Saccharomyces cerevisiae S288C: one gene and its partners. Changing the gene in region 1 together with any one later gene gives a genetic interaction. Each region holds a gene or a part of one and is shown on either strand. Other genes may lie near its edges.

Region 1 (4,866 bases):
ATGATGACATAAGTTATGAGAAGCTGTCATCGAAGTTAGAGGAAGCTGAAGTGCAAGGATTGATAATGTAATAGGATAATGAAACATATAAAACGGAATGAGGAATAATCGTAATATTAGTATGTAGAAATATAGATTCCATTTGGAGGATTCCTATATCCTCGAGGAGAACTTCTAGTATATTCTGTATACCTAATATTATAGCCTTTATCAACAATGGAATCCCAACAATTATCTAATTACCCACATATATCTCAGTAATTCACAGTTAACAACAGTTGATAAAAAATATTCTGTATACACGTCCCCACTCTGTGATAAAGCTTCCTGTTTGCTTGTAAATTAAGTGAATTTTCAAGGGCATTATCAAAGGCCTTAGTAATAATGGTAATAATATATGGATACGAAGAATTTTTCGTATAATCGCATGCATTATTACTTAACATATTTTCAGTTGAATAATTCATTGAAAGAGCGTCTGACTCACAAAATGGCGCAGATTTTGCCAAAGTATTATTAATTTGTACACTATTATGAGAGAGAGTTACCCCTTCAATACCCTTTTGCGTACTATTTTCAAGACATGCATAGCTACCCAACAGAAATGCACCTAGGATACATATCCTGAATAAGGGATATATCATTATGAGGTTAAGTGGCCTAAAAACGCAATTAATACGGATCCTTGTACTATTAAGTCTTTTCTATCTCTGAAAATTAACTTAAGAAGCGAGGCTATCTAGATTAGTGTTGATGTATATGTGTATGCTGTCCTGGTGTAGCTGTGGTTTTTATAGATTATCTCAGATTTGTGATACTCTGTAAGTGGCGGCCTCATTTTGTCTCTCCTTGAATACGAAAATTTGTGGGCTAAAGATTTATTCTCATCAACAAATCAAGTAACAATCATTCGTGTTGGAATAAAAATCAAATACCGTCTATCATCTAACACCGTATATGATAATATATTGATAGTATAACTATTGGTTGATAGACGATAGTTGATTTTTATACCAACACTAGGAAACCACAATCCAAGATGAGATAAATATAGAGGAAAATACAAGTTTGAGTTTAGATCTGAAGTTACCTTAACATTTGTATAAGCAAATTCGCTACGCGACTCTCACATCAAAAACTGCTTCTATGGCCAAGTTGGTAAGGCGCCACACTAGTAATGTGGAGATCATCGGTTCAAATCCGATTGGAAGCATTTTTTTGAATACTGAAAAATTAAGCTGATCACCAAACTCATGTAATATATATGCTTGACTATACAAATTACAGGCTTCTTCTCATATTTTTCTGCTCTACGTTAACCTACTTTAAACAGTCCAAAAGGCTTATGTTGTCCACATGAAATGCCTAAAACAGATGGCCAATATTTAATTTTTTTCCTTACTACATTTAAATCTGTATACTACCTAAATATCCTCTTTCGCTACTGTGGGAGAAGAAGAAGAATAACTCTCAGTTTATAATCTGATCTAGGCACTCTCAGATTGCGAATTAGCTTTTACAGTAAACGCCCCATCGCTCCATTTTTTGAAAGAGTCTAGAAGTTCATCATTTTTATGTAACTCTGCTATCTCAGTATAACCACCTCTGGAAGTACCACCGATGATAACGTTTGGGACTGTTCTCCTACCAGTGACTTTTTCAATCTGGTCTTGTAGTTCTTTTGTGTGTTCGTGCCTATCCAATTCTACAACGTAGTAAGATGGAGAAAACGTGTACGAATTAGTCAACAAAGCTTTCAGTTTTTTGCTATATGGGCAGCCAGTCTTGCTAAATACAATCATGGGTGACTGTTCCATTATTTTGTTGTATTCTGCAGCGGCATCAAATTCAGCGTCCCCACTATTTTTATCAACTTCTTCGGCTTCCTTATCTTGTGTATTTACTGTATCATGGACAGATTGGTGAGTGCCAGGTGCATTTCCTGAATTGTCAAACGTCACCAATGAATCAGGATGGTGAGTAGTAATACTTTCGTTGACGCTAGCATTCGAATTCCTTAACACAAAAAACACAACAATGAGCAGTAAATTAGTTATTACCAAGACTCTCACGTTTCTTTTGTTTATAACAATAGCCATCTCTAATTTTCTTCAGTTGTTTTGCGTTTAATTTGAAAATTTTGCTTCTTTCCAATATATAGGTTTTTTCTTTTATTTGATTCGAGCTTTTTCACTGAGGGGATATGTACACATTGGCAAATATCCTGCCGAAAGTACTTCTTTATTTTTTTTCAAAACGCAGTCCCACTTACCGGTATGACGTAGTCTCGATTCTCAAATACACCCGGGACTGCATATTTATACATCTGTAGTAAAGTCATTTTATATGGATTGTGAAGGAAAAAATTTACATAACTGGAAGATAAATAAACATAACTATGTAAGGAATAGTAATAAGAATGTAGAAAACGCCAATGGAAGTTGTCCAAACTATAGTCCGACCCGTTGCATATTATTTACCGGCAATCGCCTTATCATGAGTAGATTCTAAAAATGCTAATCTATCGGTGATGTAACCACACACTCTTTTCCATTCCGTTTTATCCTGCCCTAAAAGGTCATCGAGATATTTGAAAGGATTCTTATTAACACAAACATATTCGTTTAAAACCTTGAAATTCTCTAGTTCAATATCGTAATTTTTTACCTTTTTTAAGGCCGTATATGAACGAGCAGGTTTACCATTCGTAGTCAAAAAATTGCTTTTAGATAAATCGTATGGGTCAAACTTTGGGAAGTTTGAATGGATGAACATAACATCTACATGATTCTTGGCATTTAAGTCCTCGTTGTCGAAAAATTCTTCGGTGTATTTTTCGAGGGAATAGTTTTTGTCAAACTTGATTGCATCAGCTGATTTAGTGCCACCGTATTTGTTGCCAATGCTCTCCATAGCATTTAAGTAACGGCCATAATCCTGCACAAAGTCGTGTTGTAACATTGCTACACCATGAAACCCGTCTTCATCATGGTAGCCTTCAACGCCTGTCCTTGTTCTAACTTGGTAAAATGATAGACCATAAAAGTTTGCAGCGGCAATGAAAGTTTCCTTATCACCTTCACCAGCAGCTTTTTGAGAAAATATTGGGTAGTACCACGTTGGTCCATTGACGTTGTAGAATAAAGATAGAAGAGCCGTAGCCAAATGCTTCGTTTTGTTTATCATCAGTTGGCCGGATTCCGTAGACACGTCGGGTATTGTTCCGTCTAGGTCACTTAGCGGGACGTCACTCAAATCCTTCAAATCCTTTGTGTAAACAGCAGGTGGGGTGATATCGTCTCGAGAATTGCGAACTCTCTTTTTCTTGTCCACAGCAATACCTGCAATGTCGTAATACAATGGGTGAGTTGTACGCCTCCAGAAATCGGGCCACATGACCAAGCCCGTAGACACATATGGTTCTTCATTGAATATGTTGTCTAGGGGTTTGATGGGGAAGTTGTCAGCATCCAGTAAGAGCAGGTTTTCAAAACTAGAAGCGATAAGGGCCAATGATTTAAACTGGTATCCTTTGAAAACAAATTTTTCAATCGTCTCTCGTGGTAGAATATCTGAAACGTAAATACACTTGGAGTTATACTTAGGCAGAATCTTGTTACAAAACTCAGTTTCACCTTCATCACCAGGAGGGATCAGGACTTCCACAGGTAACGTGGTCCCCATATTCCTTAAAGTCTTAATGATCAAAAATGCCATAAGGGAGAACTTCCCGCCACCCACTGTGGCTATACCGGACCCTTTGTACGTACCCTTTGGCGAGACGAGAGTCGCTATATGCTCTACGTAGTCCTTATGGCTTTTGGTCAGACTTGCTACTTCATCCGGAGATAGTTCCAAACACTTGGACAGCTCCTTAGCAGACAACTTGTAAAGATCTTTGTAGTGGTCGGGACGGTCTCCAATGTCACCCTTTAATAAGCATGCCTCGTTATACTGCTTTGCAGTACTCCCCTTGGGCGAATCAACCATTAGAAAGTTGAAAACGTTGTTGTAGAAGCTTTTCAACTTTTCATTGCCTGCCTCATCATTGTCCCTCAATGGGGTTGAATCGTCAGCGCTGGCGGCGTCTGAGGAAGATGAATACTTATTGGAGTAACTCTGGACATATCTGTCTAAGTACTCCTTGTACTCCTTGACCGACGTGTTCTCATCCATGTATTTGTTTGTAATGACGAACAGCCCGCACAATATCAAAACTATGAACGTCAGCTTGAACAGCTTTGAAAACCTTTTGGTAAGCAGCATACTGAAAATATAATTTTACTGACCTACCTACACTGATTTGTCTCGAAGTAGATATGATACCTTGAGCAGCACGAGGATATTAAAAAGTAGGGCAATTCTGCTTTTAACGTATAAGCAACACCAAGTACACGTAATTTATTTTGATGATTCTTCTATATTTTTTTTTTCTTCATTGTTATTTTTTCACTATCTTTTTCATCCCTCCGCAAAAGGACGCGATCCTTTTTTAGCACGTGAACGGTAATAACGGGTCCTGGACGATGTATTAGAGTCACCTAATCACCAAGCGAGCCAATGGCGACTCACTTGACTTGCATGTTTGCATAACCTATTTAGCGAACCCTCCAACTTCTGAGCGCACCAGCTTAACTTGTGCGCTAAGCTGCCTTGCCCGACATAGTGCCATCGCTCATTCCACCTCACACCTGATTAACTAAAAGTTTTAAAACTACGGGACTGCGAAAAAGTAGAGCTACGTTACTGCAGACCTACAATAATTGCACACATCGGCCTGATAACGAATGCTTCTAAAATTCTACTGTGCTACTATCGGCTGGTCGCGCCCGACGGGTTCGCTCAGCCGCTCTGCGCCCTCTTACT
Region 2 (4,530 bases), on another chromosome or scaffold:
ATAGTATGGTCTGTAGAGCCTAACATCCATGTCATGCCGTTCAAATTCTGAGGGTTCTTCCATAGCGTGATAATAGCCGTTATCATCGGGCCCAAAACCGTATTCATTGTAAAATGACGCGATCGTAACCTGTACGTTAGTATTGACGTCAGTGCAGTTAAAATAATCACTAGTTACATCCTCAAAGTCAATTGTTGCATTCGCCATCGGTGAAATTGTTATGAATCCATTACTAGCCAAATCGACTACAATGTTTCTGTGTTCTGGTGCGAGACAGGCAAGGTAATCTGATTTGAACTGATCAAATTCCATTTGTTCTGTTACGTTGTAAGCACAAGCTAGTCCTAAAGTGGTAAAAAAGTATGACCACGTTAACTTTCCTAGGTAGGTAGGCATCATTATTGTTACTTTTTTTATGATATTGAGTAGCGATACTGTATTCCAAAAGTGTCATTATATATAGTCTCTGTAAATAAGTATCAAACTCAACAAATAATTGTGAATAAGGATATTCTCTGGCAGTCAGCACAACGTATACTGACCACCCCCCTTACCATAATATAGCAACACGCTAAACCATGCTTCCCAGGCAACGTACGCTCTGCTGCTTTTTTTTTAGCAGGGCCCTATTTGGGAATGTGTCGTGAGATGTCTGCAGACGTGCTTTCAAAAGGCCGCTTTCCTGCGCGCTTTCTTACTTAATAATACTGCTTCTCGTACCTGATAAGCCGGATCGGCTAAACGCGCTTCTTGTGGATCCTGGTTCCATCCCTACTTATTTCTATCTTAGTTTTCTCATCAACTGCACATAATTGGCGACAGGATATAGTTCTCTTTAAAACATACGAACGAAATTACCAGCGATCTTCAGTGGGAAAAATGAGCCTCCAGAGCCACCCCATCATTAATATGAAAAAAATACCAGAACTGAAAATGAACAAGAATTTAGATTTTTTATTGACTGAACGCCTTTAATCTCAAAATACAGTACTGCCAAAGGACATCGTTAAAAGTTTTTGTGGCAAAAAAAAGTCTGATTGATTCTGTTGAGATTGTTTAGTGGTACTCTTTGAATGCAGTAGCATAAGTAAGTATATCACTCTCAAGTAGTGCGTCTATCGCAATAAATAGGATGATAATTGAATCTTGTTCCAACACTTACAATCATCTATCTGTATCTAGTATACTCTATGTATGTAATGCATTGAGAAATAATGCAATCTTGAAGGGCAATCACATATTTTTTAGAGTCATTAGTTGGTGTAGTCGAATTCTAATTATAGAATTTAATTCAATAATAAAGATAACGCTATATCACTTGACAAGAACTTAGCATGTAACCAGATGAGTTATATTTGATAATACTTATTATTATTTTTCTGAGCTATGTCTGAACTATTAGCTTCCATAAAACCAATCAGCGCGTATGTGGTGTGGTGTGTGTTTTGTACCTTAGTTTTGTTTTTTTTATAAATGTATTCGAGTTATTGTTGAATGTGGTAACCCAAAAGCATGATATGAGTAATGTTTTAGTATTGTTTCAGAGTTGTTTCAGTAATGCTTGAGACAAGGAAAACATATAGTAGCAAACCTCTAATCCGGTAGTACTTAAGAAACTATAGTTTCTATGTACAAAAGCAGTAACTATGTAATTATTACATTTACATAACATATAGAAGGGTCCAATAAACTTACTACATTATGACATATAAACTAGATCGTAATTCACTACGTCAACAGTTCTTAATTTCGGGTCAGTCAATTCAGCGACAGGCGTAAAGCTTTATCGACCATCTCCAGTGTTCTGAGCACCGATATGCTCGTCATTACAATAATTATCTATACCACCGTAAGTGTTAAAATATATCTCAGACTTGAATGCCGAACCCGTGCCTGCACCGTCACCAGGTATGTCATCGTAATCAAGTGGCTCACCGTTTTTCGTGTCCTCAGCAGCAAAGCAGTATTTCCAATCCCTATTACCTGAAAAGAAATTCTGTAACTTCTCTTCAGCATAAGAATCAAAATTTCCTGCTCCACCTTCGTCATTCTGCCAGTTCTGTGCCAGGTCACCATAACTCTGACTATATGTCATTGATATCCATGAGGTGGCGAACTCTTGACTGCGTCTCTGTAACGATAGGGCCGAAGCGTTGCCACTTATATCAGGTACCCCTGGTACCGCTGCCACGATTTGATCGATGAGCATGCTCACATTATGTACGCTACTCGTGCTGATGTGGGTTCCATGCTCCGTAGTATACCCCACAAAGTTGATCTCAGCAGCACCGTCACGTTTAATAGTGTCATGTACTGCATACCCACTAAACTCTATTGTAACAAAATTACTACCAGTACCATTAGACAATGTTTGCCCATTGAGCACATGATCAGTGAGTGTTATAGTATGATTCAGTACATTAATAGTCTCACTTAACCCTCGCTTTGTTGCTGAGCCAGAACTCTTTCCCACTAAAACTGCTGCAACTATAACTGCTGAAGTTGCTAAAACAGCACCAGCTATAGGTGAACATATTCCGCTAGTGGATGCGATACAGGTTGCTGCGACCCAGTAAGGAGTAGCATAAGCGGCTGCAGCAATTAAAAATCCTCCTAGTCCTAATCCAGTCGCAAATGATCACCTAGCTCGCCGTACTAGAGCAGCAGTGTTGGCGCGGTCAGGTATAGCTCCAGTTCTAAGTGTGCTTAAAAATAATGAGTACGCTACCAAAAGCAGTGCAAAAATTATTGCAAACAATCTAACGATTCTAAACGTCCTTGTTGTCAAGTAATTTGGAGGGCTGCTATTCATGTCGTCTGTGTATGATCTATTCATTTTTTCATATATTTTTTTCTATTCTACATACATTATTTGGGATTACGATACAGTGTTCCAGAATTGTCACTTTATATAGATTTGTTACAATGCATGACACTTGCCAAAATAATCAAGCCCAATACCTAAAATTTGCAAGCGCGCCTTCAAAGAATGGCTCCCCGCTGATTTTTAAGAAATACTACTTTTATAAAAAATATCTCAAAACACCTTAGTTTTTTCCTATACACTTCTTCTATTGTTTAAAGGCCCTGACATTCTTGGTCTCCAGGCCGCTCAATATGCTTCGCACCACGGTAAAAGGCGGCTGCACATGTGGTAAGTCAACAAGGACTCTTTTCACTAATTAGCATGGTGTGCTATCACATGTCATCAAGCTTTCCATGAAATAAACCATTGATTGTAAGAGAACCACCCAACAAATCAAATCAAGATGCCAATCAAAGTTACAGACTGCGTCCTTTTTCCGCCAATTGATCTAAAACAAAATCTAAAGTCAGTAAACATAGAATTTCTGTCATTTTGCGTTTTTTCGACAAATACGCGCACTACCCTGAAATTATTATCATGAAGATTACTATATTTATATTTAAAGGTTAACCTCGAGTTCTATAATATTATGTCATACAAGCTCATTATGTTAGAAAGCGAGTTATGGAGGTTCAAGTTCAGATGCCTTGGTTTGGTTTACTAACTAATATTTGAAATTCTTGCTAAATATTTTCAGTACTCCAAAATCTGAATATTTCAGAATTTCATATCCAGACCCATTCTATGAGCCAAAGTAAACCCCGTGTACTTTCAAAAGCAATGCTACTCTTCCCAAAATAATATAATATATATATATAACTGATACATATAACGTGTTGGAGTCGTATAGTGTTACAGTCCATGATTATACTCACCTCCCAGTGTATTCGTTAATAGAACTACGTAATTGTAAGCCGCTGAAAAATAGCTGGTGTTGAAACAACGAAGACCTCACCTCGATGATACCAAAATTATTAAGAATAAATATAATGAAACTTGTTTGAAAAAGAGCGGGAGCTCTGCTAGATGGAAGAGTTGCGTACAATACTTTTTTTTGAAGATGAGAAAACACTGGCTAAGGTAAAGCAGGTTTCCTGTAAAAGCTGCTAAACCGTCTTTCACGGTTTTGTAATCAAAAAGGCTTCTTACTATCCTTTCCCAGAACGAAATCATACGCATATTTGCCCACATTGTTAAGAGTTTGAATCATTAAAGCAACAATATACTACTAGACCTCTATCTTCTTCAAACCAATAGGTTCTGCTGTCGTAAAAGCATTCTTTTATCAATAACTGTAAAATGTCGTTATGAAAGCCCTTCGTTAGTCTCTTTGCAACCTCCAGCAAACTTGCTGAACTTTCTTTTTCAATGGTGTGTGATCTCTATATCTTGTGAGGCTTGCTATGTTTTAGTAGAAACCATTTGGTTTTTATTATCGAAGCAGTGTATGAGCACAGTGAGAGCTTTATATTGTGACAAGAATTGCGTTTACCTTAAAATTTCGAAGTACATTTCCTTGTATTGTCTAGGTTATGCTGGTTAGTTAATGGGGCGGGAAGTGGTTTAGTAAGGTAGAGGTCCCGTTGGTTATTTTTGTGGAGTTAGGAAGGTTCAATAATGTCAGACATCCGTTAAATAATTACATCTATACAATTCTTAAAAAG
Region 3 (6,141 bases), on another chromosome or scaffold:
TGCTGTATATCGAATAAATAAACCTGACTAAACTCCTTCTGTTATTTAGCGCAGATCCTATATGCTGCATTTTTAGATGTATTTGAGCACTACTATCGTTAATGCCGTGGCATTGGCTATGGACCAGTTAAGTCACGGCCTTTCTTAGTTCTATCATATACGACGTTATACTTATTTACTTTCCCAGCGTTGAAATTAATGTGTCTTTTTCATAATATTTACTTTTTGGTGCGGAAATCTGTAATATTTTAAAACAAAATCTCATCCTTTTGAAAAGAAACGATGAAGAAAAAAAATAATAACATACATTGTACCTTCACTAACACTTGTAAAACAAACGCTTACATTATAATGGCACAAATGAGCAATCAGTGTCACTTCTTCCTACATAAGCATAATTCAAGTATCGGGATATAAAGCTATTATATACCGCTTAAGATAAGAGGTATACACCTCATTGATCAAATACGCAACAGCGTCTCCTTTCAGACCTTTGTGGAGTAATTTCTGCGGGTAGGATTGACTATTTTTCAAGATCAATGCCCCCTCACACTAAGACCTGTTTGCTTAGCATCATAAATGAGTTTTTCCATAATTAAATTTCAACCATAGATTAGAATTTCGTTGCGGGATAAAACTCCAGAACCACAACGATTATGCAGCAAATGTAACCTTGAACTAAACTAAGATTTTGTTAGAGCAGGTGGTTTCCGTTACTCAGACAAGAACCTATAGTAGAAATATAAAAGTTTAAGTAAAACTTTCTTGGAATAGGAATCAGCCATCATCTATCAACTAGTGTACTGATATTCATAATACTGGTATACAATCATATACGGTGCGGGAAGATGACATAAAAAATTGAGAAACACTCATCAAATTTAATGGAGGCCGAAATGCAGGGACTCAGATCGTGATAGAATAATAAACGAGAACATATAAAATGGAAGAAAAAAGAATAACAACAATATGTAGATTTATCGATTCTGTTGATAATTAGAGGTAAAAAAATAGTATTAATGAAGAAATAATTACTGATCTTCTTATACTAAATAAGAGAGGTATATAAAACACACGCCGATTGGTCATATTAATCATGACCAATATAATAGTGATTCCGGTAGTTACTATACATTGATGTGACGACTCATATTCCTCATATATGTACCTACCATAACATGTTCAACTAATAGGTGTTTAACACAGCTTCAGTATTGTCTGAGCTTCTCGTTTAACATTCCTTCTGCAATAGGCGCAATCACACTTAAACGTATACGAGGTGTACATTAATATACGATGTAAGCATTAGATTGTTACCATAGCAACTCATGTCACTATTAATTACTCTCGTTCCAACAGATTCTCCTTTTATGGATTCCATATCTCGAGGAGACTTCTAGTATATTCTGTATACGCAATATTATAGCGTTTACGAACAATGAATCCCAACAATTATTTTAAAATTCACCAACATCTCAATATGTGTTTTATGAATATTTTAGGTGGGTATTGTCATACTGACGTATTCCATTTTGAGATGCAACACATACGTGTATTGTAATCCGATATAGTGTAACGGCTATCACATCACGCTTTCACCGTGGAGACCGGGGTTCGACTCCCCGTATCGGAGTACTTTTTTGACATCATACAGTGTATGTATGGGGTTAGGAGCCACCTTCCAACAAAGCATCACGCTGTCGTATCTCAATTGTCCTTCAGCAAAAGAAAAAGCAGTTGGGCTCCTGTACGCCATATATACTTTATATGCGGTTTTTACCCCGGAAATCGCGTTTATTAATGTCAATGCGCGATTTCTATTATGGGTTGAAAAAGTTGCACTTCTGTTCCTTTCCAAACGATATACGCCCCCCCCACAAGAAAACGTTTCTCTTGCATTCAATAAGGTCCATCGAAGCTGTATTTGGAACTTCCGATTTTATTAAACTTCTAGGGGCGAACTCAACCTTTCGCTTGAACAAGCTTGAATGTGTCGAAAACCTTAGCTCGATCCTTAAAAAAGTATTTGCATTATCAGTAATAAACAGAAAATTAAAACATTTACCAAAGGCAACGAGTCTTCCATATGAAAAATGATAAAAAGATGGTTATCTGTGAATAGGAAAAAGTCACACCCGGAGAAGAACACTCAAGGTAATGACGAAATTAATCGGAAAGCAACTAGCCTGAAGAAAACGAAAGGTTCTGGAGATCCCTCCATAGCGAAATCACCAAGTGCTAAGAGTAGTACATCAAGCATACCTTCTAATCTTGCGAGCCATGAAAGAAGAAGCAAGTTTAGTAGTCAAACGGATAACCTTGCAGGAAATAAACATTACCATGAGCATTACCATAATATGGCAAGTACTTCAGATGAAAGAGAGTACGATTCCTCGACTACATATGAAGATCGTGCGTTCGATACAGAGTCCTCCATACTATTTACTACTATTACAGATTTAATGCCATATGGGGATGGTTCCAATAAAGTGTTTGGTTATGAAAATTTTGGGAATACTTGCTACTGCAACTCCGTTCTACAATGCCTTTATAATATCCCCGAATTTAGGTGTAATGTGCTGCGATATCCTGAAAGAGTAGCCGCAGTAAACAGAATACGCAAAAGTGATTTGAAGGGTTCAAAAATAAGGGTATTCACTAATGAAAGTTTTGAAACATCTACTAATAGCGGAAATTCTAATACGGGGTACCAAAGCAATGATAATGAAGATGCACATAACCACCACCACCTTCAGCAGAGTGATCAAGATAACTCCTCTTCTTCTACTCAAGAAAAACAGAATAATTTTGAAAGAAAAAGGAACTCGTTTATGGGTTTTGGAAAAGATAAATCGAACTATAAAGATTCTGCAAAGAAAGATGATAACAATGAGATGGAACGGCCTCAGCCTGTTCACACAGTTGTAATGGCCTCTGATACATTAACAGAGAAGCTTCACGAAGGCTGTAAAAAAATTATTGTGGGAAGACCGCTTTTAAAGCAAAGCGATTCCTTATCAAAAGCTTCAACTACAGATTGTCAAGCAAATTCGCATTGCCAGTGTGATTCACAAGGCAGTAGGATTACATCAGTGGATGATGATGTCCTTGTTAACCCTGAGAGCTGTAACGATGCTGTCAACAATTCTAATAATAATAAAGAGAATACGTTTCCAACAAGTGAACAAAGAAAAAAAGCCGCTTTAATTAGAGGCCCCGTTCTTAACGTAGATCATTTACTTTATCCAACCGAGGAAGCTACACTTTACAATGGACTAAAAGATATATTTGAGTCTATTACTGAAAACTTGTCGCTAACCGGTATCGTTTCACCTACAGAGTTTGTCAAAATTTTAAAAAAAGAAAACGTCTTGTTCAACACTATGATGCAACAAGATGCCCATGAATTTTTAAACTTTTTATTAAATGATTTCAGTGAATATATTCAACGCAATAATCCCAGAATGAGATTCGGACCACAAAAGACAGACAACAGCAACGACAACTTTATAACGGATTTATTCAAAGGTACACTGACGAATAGGATCAAATGTTTAACTTGTGACAATATCACCTCAAGGGACGAACCATTTTTAGACTTTCCAATAGAAGTACAGGGTGATGAAGAGACTGATATCCAGAAGATGTTAAAAAGCTATCATCAGCGTGAGATGTTGAACGGGGTTAACAAATTTTATTGTAACAAATGTTATGGTTTACAAGAAGCAGAACGTATGGTCGGACTGAAGCAACTGCCCCATATTCTGTCATTGCACCTAAAAAGATTCAAGTATTCAGAGGAGCAAAAGTCAAACATCAAACTTTTTAACAAAATACTCTATCCACTAACTTTGGATGTTTCTTCCACTTTTAATACATCAGTATATAAAAAATATGAACTAAGCGGCGTCGTCATCCATATGGGGAGCGGTCCACAGCATGGTCATTACGTATGCATTTGCAGGAACGAAAAGTTTGGGTGGCTTTTGTATGATGACGAAACGGTGGAATCCATAAAAGAAGAAACTGTGTTACAATTCACAGGTCATCCAGGTGATCAAACTACAGCCTACGTTTTATTCTATAAAGAAACACAGGCTGATAAGACCGAAAATCAAAATGAAAATATAGACACTTCTAGTCAAGATCAAATGCAGACTGACAATAACATTGAACAGTTAATAAAATGCGATGATTGGTTAAGGGATCGTAAATTGAGGGCAGCTGCAAATATTGAACGCAAAAAGACCTTGGGGAATATACCTGAAGTTAAGACTGCAGAAACCAAGACGCCATTAAATGATAAAAAACGCAATAAGCAAAAAAGAAAATCGAGAATATTGAGCTTCATCAAATAAATCGGGATTGTTTCGATACATCATATAGTTGAGACCCATCTGTTCTAAAAGTATCAATATTAGTGTACCATTTTTTCTTCCTTTTTTAAATAATTTCCACGTTTCTTTCTATTGTTCCTGATCTTTCGAATTTAGTTGTATTTCACTTCACCTACTGTAATAACTTTTTTTTTTTAGAGCACAATAAAATTTCACATATTTTCCAAAAGCAAGGGCGGTAAATCAGAAAAGATTAAGCTTTAATGAAAATCTCATAGAGACCAGATGAAGAATATTGGTGGCAGCATAAGCGCTAATACTGAATAGATATACGCATTTTTTTTCAAAATATCTGTTAGTACATTTATACAAATATATTCGTTTATACCTCTTCTTTAAACAGGCGCATGTGTAAATAAATATGAGACTGATTCTCCATTATGCAATCTTCTGATAGCTTCTGCAATCGTAGGGCTGATATCCACCTGATCGACAATGTCCAAATCCAAATCAACAGGTACCGTGTTGGTGCAAACAATTCTTGATAACCTACTATTTATTAACTTCTCCCTAGCTGAGCCAGAAAATATACCATGTGTGACAATAGCGATAACCTCCTTAGCACCGTGATCCATTAATGTGTCACAGGCTTTCACCAGCGTACCACACGTGTCAGCCATATCGTCAATCAACAAGCATGACTTACCAGCAACATCACCGACAAGCAGCATTCGCGAAACTTCATTAGCTTTTTGCCTCTCCTTATGAATCAAGGCAAAATTCATATCCAGCTTGTCCGCTAAAGAAGCCACCCTTTTCGCACCACCAGCATCAGGCGATACCAGTATCGCATTATTGAAATCTGTTTTGGTCCTTATGTAATTCAACACACTTGGTTCACCGTATAAATTATCAACCGGGATATGAAAAAACCCTTGAATTTGTGAAGCATGGAGATCCATAGTAATAACATGATCACAACCCGCAGTTTCCAAAAGATTGGCAATCAGCTTCGCAGTGATGGGCGCCCGCGATTTATCCTTCTTATCTTGTCTAGCATAAGGGAAATTTGGTATTACTGCCGTAATTCTTCTGACTGATGCCGTCTTACAAGCGTGAATTAAGATAAGTAATTCCATTAAGAAATCGTTGATTTCATGTTCCCCGTAACCAGTTTGGATGATATATACGTCTTCATCACGAATGCTTTCCCCTATTGTAACAGACGTCTCTTTATTTGAATACTGATATACCCCCACTTTAGATAACGGTACACCAAGCCTTTGGGAAATAAGCTCAGCAAGCCCAGGATGTGAGTTACCAGCTAACAACTTAATACTGTTTGTAGACATATTCAACGAAACTTACGACAAGATAGTCTTTGGATGATGAGGAATATCCTCTTCTTAGCAATCCCTCGATGCCTCCTCATATCATCTATTGTTCAAAATTTTTTCATTGTTGAAAAATAGTCACGTGCTTAACCATTTTGCTGCGCGATTTGGTAGGAGGATAAATACACGGGCATACCGTATCTGTTCAATAGCAACAATGTCGGAGAGAGCTAAACTAGCCAACTCGCCATCCTATTCCACTGGTCGCTTGAGTCGATATCCTTCCACAGCAATATTGCACTTTACAATTAGGATAGCCTCCCCAATAAAATAAGGAAATTTTGGTTATTTGTGTTCAGAAAAAGCCGAAATCGATTGCAGAGAACAGAAAGGAACTTTCCGATTATCACACTTTAGGAGCCGTGATAAAGAAGACTACCATCGCATATCGCAGAAAAGACTTTAAATAT

What was found. A genetic interaction does not mean that the proteins touch.
Region 2: mutations in GRX7 (region 1) and YER187W together harm fitness more than expected from each alone (negative genetic interaction), as found in Saccharomyces cerevisiae (one large-scale study listed by BioGRID).
Region 3: mutations in GRX7 (region 1) and UBP9 together harm fitness more than expected from each alone (negative genetic interaction), as found in Saccharomyces cerevisiae (one large-scale study listed by BioGRID).

What each region holds. Positions count from the first base shown.
Region 1 is NC_001134.8:265,238-270,103, forward strand, and holds GRX7 (glutathione-disulfide reductase GRX7), read right to left. Parts: upstream 2,100-4,866; coding exon 1,488-2,099; downstream 1-1,487. Other genes in the region: YBR013C (uncharacterized protein), read right to left, coding at 255-644; alpha-1,2-mannosyltransferase MNN2, read right to left, coding at 2,473-4,266.
Region 2 is NC_001137.3:563,909-568,438, reverse strand, and holds YER187W (uncharacterized protein), read right to left. Parts: upstream 2,210-4,530; coding exon 1,784-2,209; downstream 1-1,783. Other genes in the region: YER188W (uncharacterized protein), read right to left, coding at 1-399.
Region 3 is NC_001137.3:353,373-359,513, forward strand, and holds UBP9 (putative ubiquitin-specific protease UBP9), read left to right. Parts: upstream 1-2,093; coding exon 2,094-4,358; downstream 4,359-6,141. Other genes in the region: ribose phosphate diphosphokinase subunit PRS2, read right to left, coding at 4,733-5,689.